2 linked regions of the Cricetulus griseus genome follow. The protein of the gene in region 1 interacts with the protein of each later gene in a biochemical or structural test. Links are inferred from orthologs where the notes say so. Each region holds a gene or a part of one and is shown in the gene's direction. Other genes may lie near its edges.

Region 1 (12,044 bases):
GTAATTGTAGCAAGAGCTGGAGTTAGTAAACCAATACTACATGACTAGAGTGTTAGTAAAGAATAAGTAAATTAATGAATATGATCGTAATGGAAGGGGGCATTTTCAATTGAGAAACAAAAATTAGGTCAAGTATAACAGACCTCTTACAAGTTTTTTTTTTAGTCTGACGGATTTATGGTGTTTAGTTTCTTTGTGCTTCGTGGGTCTTTTTAATTGGTTATTAGCAAGAGGACATATTCTGTAGCACAATGTGGTGTTCTGCTTTGTTTTTGTTTTGTTTTTTCCTTTGAGATCTTTAGGTAGTATGATCTATGCTTGAAAAATTTTAGAGTAGTAGCTTTTATGCTAACTTAGAGGAGCTTTAGTCTTTTTGTATGCTGCTGACCAGGGTAATAAGCTTCATTAGAGTGACACTTGATTCCTTAATATCAGAATTTGTTTTGGTCTTGTTCTTACTTTAGAAGACTTTAAGTAATGTTCTGCAAATGTAGAGTTTGAGTGGAGAGTGCAAAGAAATTATTTTTGTAAGGAATAAAATATTAAAATGAAAGAAAACAGCGGAAAAACATTTGAGCACAGTGTAGCTTGGGACAGTCTGTATTGTGCTTTGGCTAAAATGAGCATTTATATGATCCCTTTGGTTGAAATACTAATGCTCCTATCTTATTGTGTAAATGACTAACAATTTTAAAGATGAACTCTTATTCTCAGCCAAAACTTGCAATCTGAGGCTATGTCTGTGTGAATGAGTTTACCTTTCAGGTATTACAACCCGTTTTTAGAATCTTAATTCTTGAGGTGAAACAAAAAATACATTTTGGTTCCTTTTCTTCCTCCTGCCTATCTACACTAATTGGTCATCATAATAATGATCAGTAATAATTTAGCGAGTAAATCCTGGAGTATTATAAATTCTTAACTGTTGACTGTTTAGAGTGCATAAGCAGCAGAAGGGATAAAATGGATTCAAAGTGGTATCTGTTATTTACCTTTTTCACATATGAGTTACAGCTTACATGTTTGTAAAGGGATACCTGAAAGGTAGACACAGATTGCAACATGCATTTGTATTTTATTTTGACTGTGCACAAAAGTTTATCTTTAAATTAGTAGAAATAGAAACTGTATAAGGGTGGGGCTAGAATTGAAAATGAACCTGTGGGGTTTGTCTTGCTGCTCCTTAAGTAACACACCAGAGACGCTTACACTTGTGTAGAAAGTATATGTAGCAACACTTGATGTTTGGCTGCAAGCTTGTAGCTCCTAGAGGAGGATAGGAAGCTTGACAGCATCCAAGCTACTAAATTTAGGAGCCTGGTTGTGTTAATAATGTATGTGAGCCTATGAGCAGTCTTACACTGTGAATTCATATCTGGCTGTTATTTTTCCTTCTACAGATAAGCCCATTTGGCTGCTAAAGGGCTTTTTATTTGGTTCTTCCTCCTGGTGTGAGCATGTATAAACAGCAGGACGTTACATAGAGTAGTAAACAGTAAAATGAGGAAAATGCATGAAATTTCAGCTTATGGGTGAATAGATCCTTGTTTAATATGTAATTAAACTTGATAGCATAATGTTTTTGAAATGTTAGCTATAAATGTGTGTCTGTCCATTTGTGAATCCTGAATATCCTGGTCCTATGATAAGACACTCACATAATTCTGTTCTCCAATTTTCAGTATTACGGACTACAAATTTTGGAAAATGTGATAAAAACAAGGTGGAAGATTCTTCCAAGGAACCAGTGTGACGGTAGGAAAATATCTTAAGAGTAATTTATTAATGTTGCATGGCAGGCTGTTATTTGTGTAGGGCAGGAGGAGTAGGTTACCTTTTAGAGGAAAGAGACAACCATCACTTTGAGCAAACCTTGTTTAGAAAAATAAGAGCATGTACACATTTGTGTACACGTGTGCACTCAGGAAGCAAAGGCAGGTGGATCTCTGAGTTTGAGGCCAACTTGGTCTATAGAGTGAGTTCTAGCTCAGCCAGGACTATATAGAGACCCCCTGAGGAAGAAAGAAAAAAAGAAAGAAGGAACGAATGAACAAACATGGCCGTCTGACAATGAAGATCTTAGGTAGAGTACTTGCCTAGCATTTTGGGGAGGGGGATCACTGGGTCATCCTCAGCGTGACATGCACACCAAGTGAACACCTCTTGAGCTACTTTTGGGCATGGCTGGAGATTGTTTATGCTTAGCAGCTTGATTGAACTTGGGGAGAGGAGTATCAAATCAAGGCTTTTTAACCATTGTCTTTCTGAGGTTGCTTTATGTGAGGGATGATTTTCTAAATCTAAAATAAAAGTGTAGTGATGGCTACAGTTAATCTTAAATGTTTCTTCCTTCTGTATTGGAAAGGTGTGGTGGTTCCCACTTGTAACCCAGCACTCATAAGGTAGTGGAGGCAGGAGGATTGGGAATTCAAGTCCTGGGCTATATGAGATCCTCTCCACACCTATGTACACATATACCTACATATTCAAAACAAATAAATGTCATAGCTTTAACAAAAAAGAGACATAATATTTGATACTAATTAGAAAATTGAGGCCAGGTCTATAGCCTAGTGCTAGGGCACTTGTTAACCCTGCACAGCCTCTGAATTTGACTGCTTTATTTTATGCATATGGATGTTTTCTCTGCATATGTACCACATGTGTGCCTGATGCCTGGGGCAGTCAGAATGGGGTGTTGGATGCTCTGGAACTGTAGTTATGGGTGGCAATGAGCTATTAAGTTCACTAGTTGTGAACAGACTATGTGTGTTCTGGGAACCAAACCTGGGTTCTCTGGATGAGTGGTAAATGCATTTTTCTTTTAAGGTGGGTGTGGGCGTGTGTCCGACCATCTATCTCTCTCCATTGGTCTGTGTCCTTCATCTGTGAAGGCCAGAAGGAAGTGACCAATATTTTGGTACTTAAGTTAAAAGTGGTTATGAAACATCCTAAGTTGGTGATGGGTACAGAACACAGGTTTTCTGGAAAAGCAATGTGTCTTTAACTCTTGAGTTATCTTTCCAGCCCTGTTCCTTTCTGAATACATTTTTTTGTTCTTTTCCTGTGTGACTCAGGTGGTTTTGTAGGTAAGGATGGCATTGGACTTTTGGTTCCTTTGCCTCTACCTGAGGGCTGGGAATACAGGCTTGAATTCCCATAGCTTTGTGCTGATCAAACCTAGGACATTAAACATAGTAGACAAGCACCCTACCAGCTGAACTGCAGTCTTAGTCAAGTTCCATGGTGGCAGATATGAATCATCATACTTGGCTGAAGTTTAAGGTTTTTGGTTTTTCAAGACACGGTTTCTCTGTGTAGCTTTGGAGCCTATCTTGGCACTAGCTCTGGAGACCAGGCTGGTCTCGAACTCAGAGAGATCCCTCTGCCTCTGCCTCCGAGTGCTGGGATTAAAGGTGTGCGCCACCAACATCCAGCCGCGTGCGTGCGTTTTGTTTTTTTTTTACATTCCAACCTCGGTTTCTTTTCCTCTCTTCCCGCTACCCCTTCCCCCACCTCACATCTGCTCCTCTGAGAGGGTAAGGCCTCCCCTAGGAAGACTACTAAGTCTGTCTGATCATCTCATTGAGGCAGGATCAAGGCGCCTCTCCACCCCATACCTCTGTGTCTAGGCTGAGCAAGGTATCTCTCCTTATAGAATGGACTCCACAAAGTCAATTTGTGCTATAGTGTTATATCTTGGTCCCTCAGCCAGTGGCCTCATATATTGTCCCAGTCACACCATTGTCACCTATATTAAGGGAGTCTAGTTCAGTTTTATACTGGTTCCCCATTTGTCAGACTTGAGACCTGAGACCGTGATCTCTCACTAGCTCAGGTCAGCTGATTCTGTGGGTCTCCTATCATGGTCTCGATTCCTTTGTTCATATTATCGCTCCTCCCTCACTTTGGTTGTACTCCAGGACCTTTTTTTATTATTACACTGTAGTTTTAGCTGGGTGTGATGCACACTTGATCCCTGCTGCTTATTACACTGTAGTTTTAGCTGGGTGTGATGCACACTTGATCCCTGCTGCTCCAGGACAGCCAGGACTACATTGAGACCCTATCTGAAGAAAAAAGGAAAAACAAAAACTTTTTTTTTGAGACAGGGTTTCTCTGTGGCTTTGGAGGCTGTCCTGGAACTAGCTCTTGTGGACCAGACTGGGCTCGAACTCACAGAGATCCGCCCGCTTGCCTCTGCCTCCCGAGTGCTGGGATTAAAGGTGTGTGAAACCACTGCCTGGCAAAACATCTTATTTTTAAATTAAATTTTGTTTTGTTTTCTGTTCCCCAATACCACCACAGGACCTCTATGTGTCTTGTAGCAATTTAGACCAGGCTAGCCTTGGGAAGACAGGGCTAAAGGGGTACTTCACCATACCCATCTCTAATCAAGTCAATTCCATAGCACAAGGCCATTGTTTCAAAGTCTGTGGAGGCCAGCCTGAACTTCAAACCATGTATCTATTTAATCAAAGAATACATAACACTTGGTATATTTTCCTATAAAATTGATGTAATATCTTATAATTTTATTACACAAAAAAAATGTAGTAGTAAGATGGATAGCTTCTTTTGTGTGGGGGGGGGATAGCTAGTTTATAGTTAGCCTGTGACTACATATGTCCTGACACCACCACCACCACACCACACCCCCTGTTCTGGACCTCAACTCTGTAGACAAGGCTGGCCTTGAATTCGCAGAGATCCGCCTGCCTCTGCCTTCCAAGTGCTGTGATTAAAGGTGTGCACCATCACTACTCAGTTTTGTCTTGATTTTTCAAAAGTTCAAAAGTATGAAAAGCATACCCATAGGCATGTCAGTTATTCTGAGGTGTTTATCATCAAATCTAGGGGGGTTTTGTGTGTTGGGCAAGTATGGTCCTGAATATTTGTTAGCATGGTGTGAAAGTGTGATTTTGTTTTCTTAATAGAGTCACATTCCGGTGGCTCTGCGCACCTTTAATACTCATCATTGGGAGGCAGAGCCAGACAAATCTTGAGTTACAGGACAGCCAGACTACCTTGTTTCAAAAAAAAAACAAAAAAAGTCACATCTAGTTCAAGTTGTTGTGACAGTTCCTTTGCCTCAGCACTCTAAAGTGCTGGGGTTACAGGCATAAACCAACTCCCATGCCTATCTTACAAGAAGTTTTCCTTTTTTTTTTTTTTTTTTACACATTGTGTATAATCTTTTAATAGGGATAAAAAAATACGTTGTTGGCCTCATTATCAAGACATCTTCTGACCCAGCATGTGTAGAGGTAAGAAAATTCTTTGAAAATTATTAATTTTTGAATTTTGTTTTCTTTGTGTGCACACACATGAGAGTGCCTAAGTTCGAAAGTGTGGGTGTGGTGATCCTGGCAAGTGAAGAGAGTCAGTCAGTGCTCTTCTCTTCCTTCCATCCTGTGGGGCTGGAGATTGAAACTCATATGTTTGCAATGTAAACCATCTCTGAAAATTCAGAGATTGATGGTTTTTTAATTAAGTTTATTTATTGTGTGTGCAGTGTGTAAACAACTGGGTGCTTTTTGAGGTTAGAGGGAGACTTTTGGGAGTTGGTTCTCTCCTTATATTTTATAGGTCCAGAGAATTGGAACTCAGTTTGTCAGGCTTGGTAGCAGTTGGCTTTTCATGCTGAGCTCCCTTGATAGTCCCCAGAGAATGTGTTTGAGAAAGCAAACATTTAAATGTTAGCCTACTTTTAACAGTCATAAAAACATGTATATTTGTAGTACATCAGTAGTCATTTCTAATGCTTATGTTTGTGTTGTATTCTTTAGGCACTTGTTTAATGTGACCCCTTTCCCCTTTCCCTAGAAAGAAAAGGTGTACATTGGAAAGTTAAACATGATTCTTGTTCAGGTAAGCTTTATATTAGCCATCTTCCTCAGAAAATTTAAATGATTGTTACACTTAACATTTGCATCTGTTTAAACTTCCCCATCACATAGATATCTTTATAAAAAGGATTTGTATTTTAATTATGTGTATGTAGGTGTGTGTCTGTCTTGTTTTCTGGTGGATATGTGCATGTGAGTGGAGGTGCTCACAAATTACAAAGGTCAGAGGCATTTGAAAGCCCTGGGCCTGGAATTATAGATTGTTGTGAGTGACATGTGCCTGACATGGGTCCTGGGAACTGGGCTCTCAGGTGTTCTCCTTTTTTCTTCCCTGAGACAGGGTTTCTCCGTGTAATGGCCTTGGCTGTCCTGGAACTTGCTTTCTAGGCCAGGTTGGCCTTGAACTCATAGAGATCTGCCCCCCTCTGCCTCCTAAGTGTGCTACCTAACCGAACCTGAGTTTAGGTCTTTAGTTAACATTTGTTATAATGAGCCTGTGGTGATAAGAATCAACAATTATTTTAAGACTTCGGTTATATGGCTTCAGTGTAAATTGGACTGTATATTGGAGTTTGAAATTTTCAGTGCATCTCTTGGATTCTTAGACCAATAACAATGCATTCCCCTTATGTGGCTGGTCCAGTTCCAGTTTATATATCCTTACATGGAATTTGGCCTCCTAGTTAGTTTCCATACAGTCTTTCCTAACCACTTATGTAGTCTTAAGTTTAGAATGTTTATATTGACCTGTTTTCTTTACTGTCCCCCAACAGGTCATCCTTCTGTAGAATGTTAGGAATATTCTTGGCTATGACACTATCCAAACTTCAAAATTCTAATATGTTTTACTAAGAATTTAGTAGAAAATTCATTCCCTGTTTGTGCTATATACTTCAAGGTGGAAATGTTCCCACCCTAATATAATTCAAGAACCAGGGCCTGGCTGCATCAACTTCACTACATTAGCAAATTTATAATAATGTAAGGAGTAGATTATATCTAACAGAAAATGTTTCTTACTGATTTTTGGAGTAGCAGGGATTGATCCCAGGGGTGGATATGCTAGATGAGCATTCTTACTAGCCCATAAATATGTTTTCTTAATCAGTCACCCTTTATCATTTAATTAGATCTCAGTTGTTTGGGGAGAGGTTATACATATCTTTCAGGCAAATATTATCTATCATATGCTAGGACCAAATGTAACGATCAGGGTAACGGAGTGGGGTCTATGAGTAAAACACTGTGTATTGTGTTTGTGTGTGATGTAGAGAGTAACACAGTTCCTTCCTTAATGGGATTCAGTGAGTGATATTTACTCTGGCTTGGCAGTTTTTTTGTCCTTGTCACTTGAAGTGAAATGTGTATTTCATCTTTAATTTTAGATACTTAAGCAAGAGTGGCCTAAGCATTGGCCAACTTTTATCGGTGATATTGTTGGAGCAAGTAGGACCAGTGAAAGTCTATGTCAAAATAATATGGTGATTCTTAAACTCTTGAGTGAAGAAGTATTTGATTTCTCTAGTGGACAGATAACGCAAGTGAAGGCAAAGCATTTAAAAGACAGGCAAGTAATTATGTTTTAAATTACGTTATATGGAGCTCTAAGTGTAAAAGCTTCTTTTCAATTACTTGGGGATGTGTACAGGAGATAATCAGTGCCTCCCTGTTACTCTCCATCGGGTCTGCCTGAAATCGGGATTTGTATTTTCCTACTTTGCTAAATCTTTTTTTTTTTTTTTTTTCCCCTGCTTAGCATGTGCAATGAGTTCTCACAAATATTTCAACTCTGTCAGTTTGTGATGGTAAGTGGTTTTAATTTTCTCCTTTTTGAAATAAAGTAGAGTAGAGTATGTTTATGATATGATGCTTGTGTTTGCAGGAAAGTTCCCAAAATGCTCCTCTTGTACATGCAACTTTAGAAACACTGCTGAGATTTCTGAACTGGATTCCACTGGGATACATCTTTGAGACCAAGTTAATCAGCACATTAATTTACAAGGTAAAGCTGTACACTTCAATTTTGTCTCTGGATGGGCACAAATGATTTTTCTTAACTGACACTGTTAATGGCTATCTTTATGAAATGAAGGAACTGCCCTCAAGATTTTTACATGAATAGTAATCATTTTATATGACTCTTTAAATCTTTTTTTTTTAAATTAAGGCATAGTGGTGTATGTTATTATAATACTGCAGAGTCAGAAGTAGGAGGTCTTTTATTTTTATTATATCTATTTGTAAATTTTGTGTTAAGGTTTGTGGGCATGGATATATCTGGAGGTCAAATGACAGCTTGGTTGAGAGTTGGTTCACTCCACCATAAGGGTTAAGGGGACTGAACGTTGCCTGCTTCTTTACCTGCTGAGCTATCTCAAAGCCCCAGGTACAGGGTTTTCAAGTTTGAAGGTGGCCTAAATTACTTACCTAGGAAGGTCTGTCTTAAGAAACCAGCTAACTAGGTCAGTTTTTCAAGAACAAGTCAATGGGGATGGAGAGATGGTTCAGAGGTTAAGAGCACTGCTCTTCCAGAGGTCCTGAGTTCAATTCCCAGCAATCACATGGTGGCTTACAATAATCTATAATAGATAGGATCTGTTGCCCTCTTTTGGCATGCAGGCAGTACAGGTATAACACTGTATATATAATAAATTGTAGATAAATAAATAGATCTTTACTTTTTTAAAAAAATCAGGCATGATTGCAATTTAAGGCCTGTGTGAAAGCTTTCTGGGGGGAAGGGGCGGGTCTGAGGCAAACAGGGTTTCTCTGTGTGACACTTTGGCTGTCCTGGAACTTACTTTGTAGACTGGCTCACAGAGATCCACCTGCCTCTTTAAGACCACTTAGCCCAAGACTTCCAGGACTACCCAGTCTCAAAACAAAAGGTCAAGACAAAAAGTAAAGTGAAGGCTGGAGATTGTAGCTCAGATTCGATTCTTGTTGCTGTCAAAAACAAACAAGATTTCTATATTGGGTACAATTAGCATATTGCTTTCTTTGGATTGAGTCACACAGTGAAGTGTAATTCAGGGGATAATCCTATAAAGTAAAAAAGAAATTTGTTTACATGTATTCATTTTGTATGTAGTTGCCTGTCCCCAGGATCAGACTCAGATCGTCAGTCTTAATGGCAAATACTTCAATACTGGGGCCATGAAAATCTCTTGCCTGAGAAATTTGAATACCATACACTTACTAATTACTGCTACCTGTAGTTGGAGTGTTTCTCCAGAGCATCTGCTCCCAAATTACCAGCTGCTACTTCCCAAGTAACTGACTCCGAGACTTAAGTTATAACTGCTCTACTGATAGCTCAGGCTTGTTACTAGCTAACTCTTACATTTAAATTAACCCATATTACTGTCCATGCTTTCCCACATGGCTCATGATTTCTTACCTTATTTTCTACATGCCTGCTTCCTGGGCAGCTAGCTGGCATCTCTTGACTCATCTTTTTCCATCCCATCATCCTCAGTTTGACTTTCCTGCCTAACTTTATCCTGTTTAGCTACTGACCAGTCATAGCAACATATATTCACACAGTGTACAGAGGAATCTTCTGTAGCAGTTACCAGTGCATTGTATTATCTTGATGAATGTTATTGGGATGTTTTTTGAACCTTAGTAAAGCTAGATTAGTAACCAGTGAACTTTGTAGATCAGTTATTAATAAATCCCAAATCAACCACCAAGGGTATACAGAATATATACATCCTAAAGACCTTATTTTGGGGGTTGTGGAGGGTGGTAAGGATATCATGGTTTAAGTTCATCTCATATTCAATGTAGGTGATGTGTAAGTTGATGGTGACCCCCTCCCCATTGTCTATTCTCATTCCTCAGAGTAGGTTTTTATTGTTGTTGTTTTTAACTATTATTAAGATGGGGTTCTCAAGCCAATCGCCAATCAAACATAAACAGTAATTTAGATCCTGGGAAAGTTACTGAACAAGTTGTTTTTTTAAATTTCAGGTGTACTAAGGATGTAGTTCCCTATTTGCTAAGTGTGCACTGTAACACATAAAATAAAAACCTAGAGACAGATACTGGGGTTTAAGCTTCAAGCTGAAGATCAGAAAAGCAAAGCAGCCCAGCCAGCCATTAGCTCTCACCTCTACCTCAGACTAAAAGGGCTATCCTGTCATCAACATGGCTGGAGACTAATTCTCACATCAGACCCTTTGCTTCTTCCTTTTATACCTCTCAAATCCTGGGATTAAAGGTGTGGGATCCCAACCTTTATGTGAGCTGTTTTCTTTTTAGACTGGATAAATCTCATAACTCAGTGTGGCCATGAACTAACAGAGTAGTCTACCTCTGTCTCCTGAGTCTTGGGATTAAAGGTGTGTACCACCACATAGCTTCTATGCTGACTAGTGTGGCTGGCTTTGCATCAACTTCAGAAAATCTTTATTAAATCATAACTAATATATCACCACAGTGTACAAAGCAATAGGCTTAATCCCCAGTATCCCTATACCTGTGAAGCAAGTAGAGAGTTCAGAAGTGTAAAGTCATCCTCAGCTTTGTAGCAGTTTTGGTCTTCATCTGGGCCTCTCAAAGAAAAGCAAGCATTTCAGTACTTAGAGTATATGGTGTTTTATTTTGTGGGAATGAGTTTTGACTATGCATGTGTGCGTGCTATATATGTATCACATGTGTGTCTGGTGCTCTTGGATGTCAGAAGGAATAGACATAAGAAGAGAGTGTTGAATCCCATTTGACTGCTACTTGTGAGCTGCCTTTGGGTGTTGTTGGGAGTAGAGCCTGGGTCCTCTTGAAAAGCTTTTTAACCACAACCAGCTTTCCATCCCTTACCCTCCTTTGTCATTTTTAAAATAAATGTCTCTTGTTTAATTTTGCTTTCTCTTTTAATAAAATAGTTCCTGAATGTTCCAATGTTTCGAAATGTGTCCCTAAAGTGCCTCACTGAGATTGCTGGTGTGAGTGTAAGCCAATACGAGGAACAATTTGAAACTCTGTTTACACTTACAATGATGCAGCTAAAGCAGGTAATATACCACTATTTTGAAAACTGAATGATTTTAATGCATTAGAAATGGGAAGATTCATGACCAATAGCACTGCCCAATGAACAATAAAAAATAATAGATTTAAACTATAGAATAGTTAATACAGATGAATTGTGTGATTATATGTACATTATATAAAATCTTGAAAGTTTTATTTTCTTCCTTGAAATATTTAGGTTTTGCTCTTTGCCATTAAAGGGTCAGAAAGGGACTTTTCCTGCCTCTCTCTTCCTCTCTGTCTTTACATCTTTTCTCTTTCCTTATTTCTTACCTCCCTCTCAATAAAACTTTCAAAATGAAAAAAAAATATTAAGGGTTTTGGCGTTACATGATAACTAGAAATTTGAAGGTTGAATTTGATTATACATTGGGAAATTAGGAACCTGATAGGACCAATCTCTCCCTCCTCAGTCCTCAACATTGCTTGTCTAAACTAGACAACCTCTTCTCTAGACTAAGATCTGTTGGTTATCTAGGAAGATAAGCATGATGTTGTATTACTGTTTGCCATTTGAGTGTACCTTTATATTTTTTCTGTGTCTTGAGAAAAACCTGACAGAAAAATTCAAAGAATATAGCAGGCAGCGGTCTAGATTGGCCAGAAATACAGTGCAGATTAATGTCAGCAAATAGGGTTGTCATTTTAGAGTTCAGACTGTTTTCTTGTGGTTTTGTAACTTGTTTGTAACTTGGTTTTTAACTTCCAGATGCTTCCTTTAAATACTAATATTCGAGTTGCATACTCAAATGGAAAAGATGATGAACAGAACTTTATTCAAAATCTCAGTCTATTTCTCTGCACCTTTCTAAAGGAACATGGTCAACTTTTAGAAAAAAGACTGAATCTCAGGGAAGCACTCATGGAGGTAGGTTTGGCTCCTAGTATTTGTCTCTTCAAAGCAAAAATAAAATAAAATAAAAGGCTCTTGAATATGTGCCTGTTCTCTACATGGATTTTTGAGACATCTTGCTTGTTCTCCACCTGTATGCTTTTTGTGGTTTTGTTTTTGAGTCACGATACTTTTATTTAACCTTGACTGTCCTGGAACTTCACCGTAGAGCATCACAGAGATCTGCCTGCCTCTGCCTCCCTAATGCTTGGATTGGATTAAAAGCATGCCCAGCTGCTTTAGCTGCTCTTATACTATCTCCTAGGTTG
Region 2 (12,044 bases), on another chromosome or scaffold:
TATGGTGAGGTAAAGGCCAGCCTGAGCTACATACTGAGTTCCAGACTAGCCTGGGTTACAGAATGAGACCCTGTCTCAAAGACCAAAAACAAGGGAAAGGAGGAACATTCTAGACCAAGTAACAGAATATGCAAGAAGATATGAATATCCACAAGAAGGTATGAAGTTTGAGGCAGCCAACAGGGTGGACGGGGCTAGTGGGGACAGGGCATCTGCCTGATAGTCACGCTGGAAAGGGACAGACTTGTAAATCTCTTAACTGGGATTAAACACGGAAAAGGAACTTCCTCACTGGGCAGAGGGGTGCTGTTGAGTGCCCAAGTGAAGCTTTCCAAAATACCGTGAGCCAAAATAAGCTTGTCGGTGACATAAATTGCACCCCAGCTCTCAGCTAACATATGAATAGTGCATTGCTAGCGAAGGCGGAGTGGCGAGGAAGGCCGTGAGTGGGGACTGCCGCGGTCCAGCCCTTGGGGTGGGCGGGATGCTTCTCTGGGGCCGAGAGCAAACTCCTCCTCCTGGCCCAGCCATCGGGCGGGGGAAGCCGGCTTTTCCAGGAAACGAAAGTGAACTCTGGGGAGCCATCTTGTGGCCCAACTGCAGGTTTGGCCGGCGCTATGGCTCAGGGGCTCAGGGGACCCGCAGGTAAGCCCGCGGGGTCTGCGTCCCCACGTCCCGGTTTGCGGAGTGTGAGTTGTGTGGGTCGTGCGCTACCTCATCAAGCCGATCCGCCTCCTGGGGATTTGTATGCAGTTAGTTGTTGTAGCGTTGAACAATGCAGGAAGGAGGCGTGGGAGAAGGTGGACCTGGGTCTCTTGTGCCCGACCCTGAGGACCCAGGCCAAGGCAGACTCCCCTCCCCTTTCTGCTTAGGGCCGCTGACACCTCGCTGAGCTGCTGTAGTCCCACTTGAACAACTGTTCCTACCTTAGGGCCCTTCCCCTTTGCTCTCTTTGAACTTCCTGTTAATTTTAAATTTGCAATTTGCTTTCAAGTAACCTACAGGGTTAGGGTTAGGGTTAGAGTGTCTTTCCACAGCTTATGGGGTAAGCTGCAGTGGAATTCTGCTTAGCGCTCAAGTGAGAAGTGCTGTTCTTGTGCTGCCGTGCAGTGTTTTGAAGAATCCGGATTCCGAGGTGTCGTGCTGTGTGCCATTCTGAAAAGCAGTGGGGATGAAAAACGGATGCTTGGCGCTGAGGGCCAGAAGTGAGGAGAAGGTTGAAGGCAGAGAGGTAGAAGAAAACTTGAGTAGAAGTAGAAATGTTCTTTATCTTGATTGGGTGGTGGTGATAGTAGTGGGTTTCTTTTTTGAGACTGTTTTTATGTGTTGCCTTGGCAGCCCTTGAGCCATCCACAACTCATTCCTCCTTAGTGCCCTTGCAGGCATGCCCCACTCAGGGTTATACCTCCAGTTTTAAAAAGCTACTCGGGATGAACCATGGCTTCACACTTGGTAGGCAAGCGTTCTACCACTGAGCTATAGAAGTGTGTGTGTGTGTGTGTGTGTACATTTAAAACTTAATTTTGGGGGGCATGGTGGCACATGCCTTTAATCCCCTCACCTAGGAGGCAGAGGCAGGTGGATCTCTGTGAGTTAAAGCCAGCCTGGTGTACATGGTGAGGCATTGTATCAAGAAACATACCCCAAAAGCCAACTTTTAATTAATGGATGTACAGGCATACATGTATTCCTCTCTGTGGAGGTCCAAGTCCCCCCAGGGTTGGTCCTTACCTTGTTTGAGACAGGGTCTCTTGTTGTATCCAGGGTTGGCCCTCAACCTTTCAGAAGTCCTGCAATTACTGTGCTTATACCATACATCAGGCTTATTTGTGGGTTCTAGAAATTCAACCTCAAGTCCTTCGAGTTGTGCTTTTACCCAGGGTCATCTTCCCAGCCCTTAATGTTGTATTTTAAAAAGCCCTTTCCTAAAACCACTGAGGACATCTGACTTGAAGGAAAAGCATTTATTTATATATAGTGACTTTGAGGAATAGTCAGTCCCAGTAAGTGACTGTTAGCAGCTGTTCTCAACTGAGACTTGGTTTTTAGGGGATGTTTAGGGGTGAGAAGACAGAATAATTCCTTCTCTAGTTCTACCTTCCCAAAATAACTCAGTAAATTCATTACTGTTTCTTTTCATTTTTGCTCATACTGGCACATACACACACATACACTCTTGTGGGTTTTCCCTTTTTCTTACTAGAAGAGAGTATAACATACATGTGCTCTGCCATTTACACTTTTAACATATACCCAAATTTTCTGTGATCAGAGTGCACATGTAGCTGACTGTTGATGATGTAAGTCACTGATGTAGAAGCTAAGGAGCCCCATGGTGGGTTACTACAGTCGTGATTAGGATGGGTAAGATACCCAGTCATGAAAGGGTGGAGAACAGAAGTCTGTGACTCAGCTCCCCTGTAGCCTTCAAGAGAGTCAGGGGAAGGCTATGAATGCCTCAAAAACATTACTGTATGTTTGCTCCAAGTTTGCCAGCATGGGGAAGGCAAGCAAAGTGCTGTTCCCATCCCATGAGCAAATCACCACTGCTCTCCAGCAGGGTGCATGGGAAGCTGGGGAGATAGGATGGAAGTGGTGAATAGACCCTGCCTGTTCCCATGTCCCGGTGAGCCTTGATGCCAACTGAAGAGGGAAGAAAGACCACTTGCTGTTTTTAGACAGCAACTCCCTAGCTTCCCTAAAACCAAATTCTGATCCTCCGGGGACCAGAGTGGCTAACAGGTAAATCTCTGAGAGCCCTTTACCACATGGAGATGGCTCTTGCTAGTTACACTCTTCCTTCAGCTGGGAGAAAGTTTCATCCACTCTTAAATTCCACTTGTCAAGATCATCCACATGACAAAACTCTAGAGACTAAAGGGGCTGTGTGTCTTGCACCCTCTTTCTCTGTGTCCCGGATAAGCTCCCAAGCAGTAGGCAGTAGTGGACTAAAGTCACCTAGTGAGGACATAGGCCACAGCTCAGTCAGCTACCCTGCCCACTAAGAATCTGGAACAGCTTCCCCAGGCAGAAACTGGAGGGATGACAGCAACAGGCTCATATATGACTCTAACTCAAGCTCTGTCCTCCATGTTGTCTTCTGCAGGGGTGTTCCCTCACCAGGCACGCTCCTACTTGGACCCCAACTATGAGCATAGCAAGTGGAGACATCCACAGCCACATGGGCCTGAGTCTTACCCCGGGAGTTTCCAGCTCCAGCAGATAGACTTTCTCAAAGGGCGGCTCCCAGAAGCACCCCTGATTGGACAGCAGTCCCAGTCACTGCCGCCATCCCTCCCAGGACACTGGCCCAGGTTCCCAGGGCAACCTGCCCAAGGCAAGCAACTGGAAATCTGGGGTTTCCCCAGAAGTGTGGCTCTCAGAACTCAGGGGTTCCACACAGGACTCCCACTTCCTCTCCCACCCAGCAGTAGGAGTCTGCCATGGAGAGGTGCTGACAGGCTTTGTTCACACTTCCGGGAGCTGAGCATCAGTCAGAATCCGCAGCAAAAGATCCTAGGCCGCCTGGAGGAGCTTGGTGAGGGGAAAGCCACCAGCGCCCAGGTACTAGCCAGAGAGCTCAGGGTTCCAAAGAAGGAGATCAATCGTATATTGTACTCCCTGGAAAGGAAGGGGAAGCTGCATAGAAGAGGGGGATCTCCTCCTCTGTGGAGCCTTGCACCCCCACATCAGGCTTGGACTCAGCCCTCTAGAGCTGTGAATCCAGATACTTGTGGCCAGACAGTCCCTCAGGAAGAGCCTGGTTTGGACAGTGAAGACAGAGACCCCGCCTCTGACTTAGAAGGACTTCCTGAGCCTCTTGACATGGCGGAGATCAAGGAGAAAATCTGTGACTACCTGTTCAATGTGTCAAACTCCTCTGCCCTGAACCTGGCTAAGAACGTTGGCCTCACCAAGGCCCGAGATGTGAACGCAGTGCTGATCGACTTGGAAAGGCAAGGCGATGTCTACCGGCAAGGGGCCACGCCTCCCATCTGGTGCTTGACGGATAAGAAGCGGGAGAGGCTGCAGATAAAGAGAAGTACACACGGTGTTCCTGCAGCTGTCCCAGAGGCTACCAGAAGCACCTCATTCCCCATCTGCCACTCACCCCCATCAGGTGCCTCAAGCAGCCTGGCAACCCCCAAAAAAGTAGAGAATGGGCAGGAGCCTGTGATAAAGTATGAAAGTAGGTATGAGGCCAGACCAGGGCCAGTGAGACTGCGAGCACACGCTTATCACAATGGCCCCTCTAGAGCAGGGTATGCTGACTCTGAAAATGGCCAGTGGGCCACAGATGACATCCCAGATAACTTGAATAGTATCCACACAGCACCAGGTGAGTTTCGAGCCATCATGGAGATGCCCTCCTTCTACAGCCCTACCTTGCCACGGTGTTCACCATACAAGAAGCTGACCGAGTGCCAGCTGAAGAACCCTGTCAGCGGGCTGTTAGAGTATGCTCAGTTCACTAGTCAGACCTGTGATTTCAACCTGATAGAGCAGAGTGGACCGTCCCATGAACCTCGGTAAGAGACCACCCAGGTATCATGCCTAGCTTTGAGTCAGGTGCTCTGGTTCCTGCACTGTCTCAGCTCATTTGTCAGTGGTGGCCTTGGTGGCTCCTGTCTTTGCCTTCTCTCTTTTCCACCTTTTGGCTAAATCATCCTTGATTCGTCCCTTCTCTAAATGCTAATCGTGGAGGCTAGACCTCAGGGTAGCCAGAATCCTGGCTGAGCAAGGGGAGATTGACTCTCCTGGCCGAAGTGAACTTGCGTAGAGATGACTACCTCTTGTGTGCCCGTATCTACCTTCTTAGGCCATCACTGCCAAACTGAGCAGGTGGGCTGGGGCCGGCTGAGCAGGCAGAATAACAGCACTTGCTAGGCAGAAGCAGGTGCACTTCCCACCCCAGCCTCCGCTTAAAGGGAAAGAAAGGATGTGTCAAACACAGAAAGCTGCCTGCCAGTCTTATCAAAGGTGGTACTTCTGCTTTCGCACACTTCCCTTGCACAGGTAGATGGACTGCACTTGCTGCTGCTGCTGCTGCTGCTGCTGCTGCTGCTGCTGCTGCTGCTGCTAAGCCAAGAAGTCAAGTTCCCGAGCTCAGGCAGCTGGCCAGACTTTGGCACTGTGGCAGTGGTTCTCAACCTTCCTAATTCTCTGCCCTTAATATAGTCCCTCATGTTGTGGTGACCCCCAACCATAAAGTGATTTCCTTGCTATCTCATAACTATAAATTTTCTACTGTTATGAATCGTAGTGCAGATGTGCAGGATATTTGATGTGTGACCCCTGGTTTCCAGGGGTGTAGGTTCCCCACAGTGACTTGTTTCTTCCTTAACTTCCTTCATGATACCAAGTTACCACTTCAGGAGAACTGCTAAACAAAGGGGGTATGTTTATCCCCAAACTACAGAGCCAGGACCCATTTTGGGGCTAGGGGCTAGCATTCTTTCTCTCTCTCACCACTCCTCCAAAGAATTAAGGGAAAGCTGGGGGCTTTGCCATTAGTCATTCTTTGGACTTCAACTATATAAAGAACTTGAATGCTGCCAGGTGTGGTGGCACACACCCATAATCCCAGCTCTCAAGTGACTGACTCCGTGTTGGGAGTACCAGGTTAGCCTGGGCTAATACATAGTAAGACTCTGCCTCAAAGGGGGGGAGGGGAATGAAAAGAAATGTTATATTATACTTGAGTGTTTTGAAGACCTAGAAAGTAGGAGGCCTTACCTCCTTCTCTGAATGAATGAAATGAATCCAGCTTGAGTAAAAAGCTCAGACATTTAAAAGGTTGAGCCAAGGAGACTGAGGCTAAGGCCAGAGTCTAGGGCCAAGTGTTTTGATTTTCATCCCAGACCTGGGACAGGCAGAGCTATAGCACTGCACAGCAATCTAAGAAGGACAGATTGTTATAGTGACCTGAGACACATCACCCACCTACAGGACCTTCAGAGTGGCTCCTCAACCACCCTCCAGCCTCCTGTTTCCCCTCTCATACCCAGCTCCCCTTCCTCCCTTTTTACCATCTAGCAGGTCCCTGCTACAGGGCAGGTGTCTGCTGTGGTCTGAGGACTTTGAAAAGGAGCACAATGCCTTTAGGACCTCCATGGAGGAGGCCAATCCACACAGTTGGCCAGGGGTTGTTAGCAAGACTGTCCACCTATCTCTTTTGTGCACTTTTTATTGTTAAGAAATGATAGCGGAAGCTGGGCATTGGCGCACGCCTTTAATCCCAGCCCTTGGGAAGCAGAGGCAGGCGGATCTCTGTGAGTTCCAGACCAGCCTGGTCTACAAGAGCTAGTTCCAGGACAGGCTCCAAAACAATACAAAGAGAAACCCTGTCTCGAAAAACAAAAACAAAAACAAAAAACAAAAAAGAAATGATAGCGGGCCAGCATACCTGCAATCCCAGCACTGGGGAGGCAGAGGCAGGAGAATGTGTAGTACAAGGCCAGCAAAATCCTGTCTCTAAAACATGGTGGGCCAGCAAGATGGCTCAGGAAGTAAAAATACTTGCCACAAGCTTGACAGCTTGAGCTCAGTCCTCTGAACTCATGTAGCGAAAGGAGAAAACTGACTCCCACATGTTGTCTGTGATACACACACACACACACACACACACACACACACACACACACACACACTAAACTAACACAATCAATGAATAACAGACACCACTGGGTGTGGTGGCACACACGTTTAATGCCAGTACTGGGAGTCAGAGGCAGGAGGATCTCTGAATTTGAGGACAGCCAGGGCTGTGTAGAGATAGAGACCCTAGTAGGTACTTGGTATATCAGAGCATCCTGGGGTAGAGAGAGATCTCTTTTGAATGAACAGAGGGATGACCCAACCTGGTGTTCACACATCTAATCACTTTCCACCAAGATTTAAATTCCAGGTTGTCATCAATGGTCGAGAGTTTCCACCAGCTGAAGCCGGCAGCAAGAAAGTGGCCAAGCAGGATGCAGCAATGAAAGCCATGGCCATTCTGCTTCGGGAAGCCAAAGCTAAAGACAGTGGAAACCCAGAAGAATTATCGAACTGTCCCATGGACGAAGACTCAGAGAAGGTAGGTGTTCTTCCCTGGGATCAGTAACCCTCAGCTGTTGTGTGTCAGGATCTGACAGACTCTGGAAGTTGTCCTGTCTCAAATAGTCAACAATCCTGAGGCAGCACCCCTATCCTACCCCTCCTCACACCCCTGCCTACCCTTCCTCTTAGCCAGCTCCTGGTCTGCCTTCCTGGTCTGATTGTATTTGCAGAGTGTCAGGGTCAAAAGAAGCAATAATAGTTAGGATTCTCTGGAGGAACAGAACTTATATAACAAATAATTAAAAGGGTTTCTTAGATGAACACTTGGTATGGTCAGAGTGGTCTAATGAGGGCCGTCTCCCAGCTAGGAGGCTGCAAACTGGTAGCTACTGAGCCCCTGAGGCTGAGTGCCTTGTCAGTCCCAACCTGGCACTGAAGGCTTGAGCAGTTCTCAGAGAGCTGCTCTAATGTCCAGAAAAGCCAGTTCTAATATCAGGGAGGGAGGGAGAGGGAGGGAGGGAGGGAGGGAGGGAGGGAGGGAGGGAGGGAGGGAGGAGGGAGGGAGGGAGGGAAGGAAAGAGGGAGGGAGGGAGGGAGCAGCAACAGTACAGATGCACTCCTCAGTAAGAGTGAAGGCCAGGCACCTTTAATACCAGCCCTAGGGAGGCAGAGGAGGTGGATCCCTGTCAGTTTGAGGCCAGCCTGGTCTACAGAGTGAGTTCCAGGACAGGCTCTAAAGCTACAGAGTAACCCTGTCTTGAAAGAAACCAAAAACCAAAACCAAAAAAACAACCAAAGCCTTCCAGGCCATGTCCTTTTATCTGGGCTACTAGCATTTAGGGTGGTCTCCTCATATCAGCTAAGCTAGCAGGACAATCCCTCAGACATGCCCACAGGCTAGTCTGATCCAGACAGCGCCTCACTGAGACACCTTTCCTTTGGGTTTTAGCTGTGTCAAGTTGACAGTTAAAAACCAACCATCACAGACTTTGAATTCACGCTCCTCTCTTCTCCTTTAGAAGGCCACTCCTAACATTTAGTTGCTTGAAAGAACGACTTAGTTGGGCATAGTGACTAGTATTTGCAGCATTTGGCAGGCTGAGGCAGGAGGATTACCTTAAGGTCAAGGCCAGCCTGGGTTGTAGGAGGAGACATCGTTTCAAAAACAATGAGATAAAGTGTCAACACCATAAAGTGTCTACACCCCACTGCCCTCTGCTATGGTGATCTAATAAGAGTTTTGGCTTGTGCTTTCTTCTTTTCTCCAGCCAGCAGAGTCTCAGACCTCCAGCTCCTCAGCAACATTATTCTCTGGGAAGAGCCCAGTTACCACACTGCTCGAGTGTATGCACAAACTAGGGAACTCCTGTGAATTTCGCCTCCTGTCTAAAGAAGGCCCTGCCCATGACCCCAAGTATGTCTTTATGTGTGGTGTCTCCTGTGGATGTCTCCCCCAAAGTAGCTAAGACACTTACCTCAGAGATGAGAAGTCGTTCCTCTTTATGGTCTCTCCCGTTACAGTCTGGAAAGGGGCCTTCAGGGCCTTGCTGCTGCTATGAAGCAGAGAGTCTGGGATTAGGAGTTCGAAGGGACCGAGGACTAGGTAGGGTCACAGCATGGACAGCTTGACGGTCACTGTTGGGACAGGAAGGTTGAGAATCTGGGCATGCCTTAGCAGCTCCCTGCTTGAGGGTTCTGTGCACATACTTGTTCAAAAGAAGACTCCTAGAGGGTGTGAGGAGTGACACTTGCATGTTGAGTGGTTAGCCAGGTCACGAGACTGGGGGCAGTGGATGGGCGGTTCGCACTAGCTGTCCAAGGCCAAAATAACTACACAGAGGTGATGTGAATAAGAGCTACAAGTAATGGAGGGTGGCCGCCGACAGGGGCGAGGCAGATCACTGCAGCCCAGCCATTGTGATCCTTTGCCCATCATTTTCTCTAAGATTCCAATACTGTGTAGCAGTAGGAGCCCAGACTTTCCCCACTGTGAGTGCCCCCAGCAAGAAAGTAGCAAAGCAGATGGCGGCAGAGGAAGCCATGAAGGCTCTGCAGGAGGAGGCAGCCAATTCAGCTGATGACCAGGTAGGGCATTGTCCTGCTCAAATCACAAGCCATTTGTTACAGTGTGGGCAGAGAAGTCTTTGTGTCCCTCTGACTTTTCTGACATGTTGCTGGTTCCTCTTGGACTAATTCTCCCTTAGTCTGGAGGTGTGAACACGGAATCACTTGATGAGTCTGTGGCACCCAACAAGATCAGGAGGATTGGTGAGCTCGTCAGGTACCTGAACACCAACCCCGTGGGCGGCCTGTTAGAGTATGCTCGCTCCCATGGCTTTGCTGCTGAGTTCAAGCTGATTGACCAGTCCGGACCTCCTCATGAACCCAAGTGAGTGTCTTAGTCCTGGCAACAACTGCGTGTCAGCGGGTGAGGGTGGCCTGTAACCTCAGGGTAAGAAACGGTGCACATTAACTTCTGTCCGCTTCATCCCTTTCCAATTGCCCTTCTGTAAACATTTTTATTCTATGTGTGCGGATGTTTTGCCTGCATGTATGTCGGTGTACCGTGTGTTTGCAGTGCCCGTGGAGGCTAGAAAAGGGCCAAATTCCTTGGAACTGAAGTTATAGATGTTAGGAGCTACCGTATGGGTGCTGGGAATCAAACCGAGATCCTTTGGAGGAACCATCTCTCCCCTCACCCCCATATCGAATTTTTTAATTTTAAAAAGTAAGGAGAAAAATCTTCATAAAAACAACATGGGGCAGGGACACTAGGGAGATGAGTCAGGGTGAGGAGCACTAGGAGGCTCTTGTAGAGAATCCAGGTTTGGTTCCCAGCACTCACAGGGTGACTCACAGCTATCTGTAACTCCAGTTCCAGGGCATCCACCTCTGGTCTCCATGGACACCAGACATGTACATGGTACACGTTCATCCACGTGGGCAAATATTTAGTGTGTGTGTGTGTGTGTGTGTGTATGTGATTTTTAATTTTTTAAATTATCTTTTGGATCAGCAAGATGGCTTATTGGATAAGGGTACCAACTCTGATGACCTAAACTCTATCCCTAGGACCCATAGTAGAAAAAGAGAGGGCTGATTTCACAGATTGTCTCTGGGCACCATACGTTCACTGTGTGTGTGTGTGTGTGTGTGTGTGTGTGTGTGTGTGTGTGTGTGTGCGCGCACGCGAGTACTCACACGCTTCCCGGGAGGGGGGGCACTTTTAATTAAAACTAATGTCTTGCTATTTTAAAATTGCTTTATTTTTAGTAATGCAGTCATTGATGTTTCCAAGTCCACATGTATTTGCATTTCCTCATGAACTACTTCATTTGACATAACCCATTTTCTTTTAGAGTGTTACTCTTTAGTCTTTTAGAGCTTTTAAAACAATAAAAACATTAGTCCTGTGATGATTATGCCCCAATCTAACGGGGCCCAGAAGAGCTCCTGACTACCCCCACTTCAGGGTGCCTTTGTCCAGTGTGGAAGCTGCTGGGAAAGAGGGGGAAAGAGGACATGGGCTCCTGCCCCTCCCTCTGGCGAGCCTCCTTCTCTTTAAGCTAGGTCACATGATAGTGGGAGCTTTTAGTGACACCTTCTGTAATATTCTGGGAATTCAGTAATTCACTTGGAACATAAGAACCTTGGAACTGGAATTAAAGACATGAGATGCAGCAGACTTAGGACTGTAACAGTGTTGGACTTGCCGTGTGGCTTGTCCTGGGAGGCAGATGCCAATTTAGTAGCTATTTTATTTCCATCTCATGTGGTCCTTCCTTTGTGTGTATTATGCTGCATCCACTTTTCCCTCTCTTTCTTGGTGACCTTAACTCACTTGTTGGTTTTAATGTCTAAATGCTGGAAAGTGCTGAACATGTCTCTGTAACCCAGACCTCTCAAAGCTCCACATTCCTGTATCCAGTTACGTACTTTAACTTCTAATCAGACATATCCTAAGCGGAGCTCTGAGACAAGACTTTCCTGTCGTAGTAAACACCACCACTGCTTACCCATCCTCAAGCCACTAGGATTTCTAGTACTGGCCTCGAAATCACAGAGTTCTGGGATTACAGGCCTGTGCCACCACCGCCCGGCTAACAACTTCTGATATAGTGCTTTCGCCGTTGTGTGCTAGACATGATGTAGGCACACAGCAGAATGTGCATGGCTTATTTGCAAATACCATGCCATTTTACATCAAGAACTTAAGTGTTCTGCAATTCCAGTGTCCTTGGGGAATCCTAGAAGCACCTCCCATGAACACCAAGGGACACAACTGTACATCTCTGTTCCTGTGGTGGGAGGACAGACCTAGTCAAGGGACCGAGAGATGTGATGGATGAGCAGGGAGTGAGGGTAAGGCCAGCCTCTACCAGCTGTTTGCTGAAGGGCACATGGCCTGCCCACAGGGCCTGCCTTGTAGGTTGTCACTTTACCATAAAAACAGTAGGAAGTCATTGAAGGTTTGAGTAGAGCATCCGTGGTCTCTTGTCCCTTTATTAGCACTTTTCTGCTAATTTTTGTTTTCTCCTTTGAGAGTACCCCTCCAGGTCTTTGCCTCAGATTCCCACCTAAATCACTGTTGGCAGTCTAAACTGATAGCTTATTTCCCAAACCAGGCCACCTGCCTACCTTGCCCCTGTCAGGAAGTTTGAAGGAAGCATCCTTCCTTCTACATCAAGTCTAGGTCCCCTCCCCTTCTGTGCATAAGGACTGATTGTTTCCTGATCTCCCTTCTTCTCCTGGCCTATTGACCTCAGCTGTATGTATGCAAACTCTTAGCCGTTTTTGAGAGACCATGTCTTGACCTGCTTCTCTCCAGGCTCTACCCCATTTCTGTGCTACTCTAGATACCAGACGCCTCAAAAGGAATGTTTATAGTCACTGTGTACTTTCTTCACTCCCTCTGAGGGCTGGAGAGATAGCTCAGCAGTTAAGAGTGCAGTCTGATCCTGCAGAGAACCCTAGTTCCCAGCTCAGTTCCCAGCACCCACACA

The links.
Region 2: the proteins of Xpo1 (region 1) and Adar form a complex in vitro, tested with the Homo sapiens proteins (2 studies listed by BioGRID, with this or other methods). The link is inferred for Cricetulus griseus from reciprocal best matches to the Homo sapiens genes XPO1 and ADAR.

The regions. Positions count from the first base shown.
Region 1 is NW_023276807.1:83,488,901-83,500,944, reverse strand, and holds part of Xpo1 (exportin-1), read left to right. Parts: intron 1-1,682; coding exon 1,683-1,755; intron 1,756-5,205; coding exon 5,206-5,267; intron 5,268-5,826; coding exon 5,827-5,871; intron 5,872-7,234; coding exon 7,235-7,416; intron 7,417-7,605; coding exon 7,606-7,654; intron 7,655-7,731; coding exon 7,732-7,851; intron 7,852-10,735; coding exon 10,736-10,864; intron 10,865-11,592; coding exon 11,593-11,751; intron 11,752-12,044. UniProt on the Homo sapiens protein: Mediates the nuclear export of cellular proteins (cargos) bearing a leucine-rich nuclear export signal (NES) and of RNAs.
Region 2 is NW_023276806.1:64,814,477-64,826,520, reverse strand, and holds the start of Adar (double-stranded RNA-specific adenosine deaminase), read left to right. Parts: upstream 1-617; coding exon 618-645; intron 646-3,106; coding exon 3,107-4,529; intron 4,530-6,894; coding exon 6,895-7,078; intron 7,079-8,309; coding exon 8,310-8,455; intron 8,456-8,987; coding exon 8,988-9,126; intron 9,127-9,245; coding exon 9,246-9,430; intron 9,431-12,044. UniProt on the Homo sapiens protein: Catalyzes the hydrolytic deamination of adenosine to inosine in double-stranded RNA (dsRNA) referred to as A-to-I RNA editing.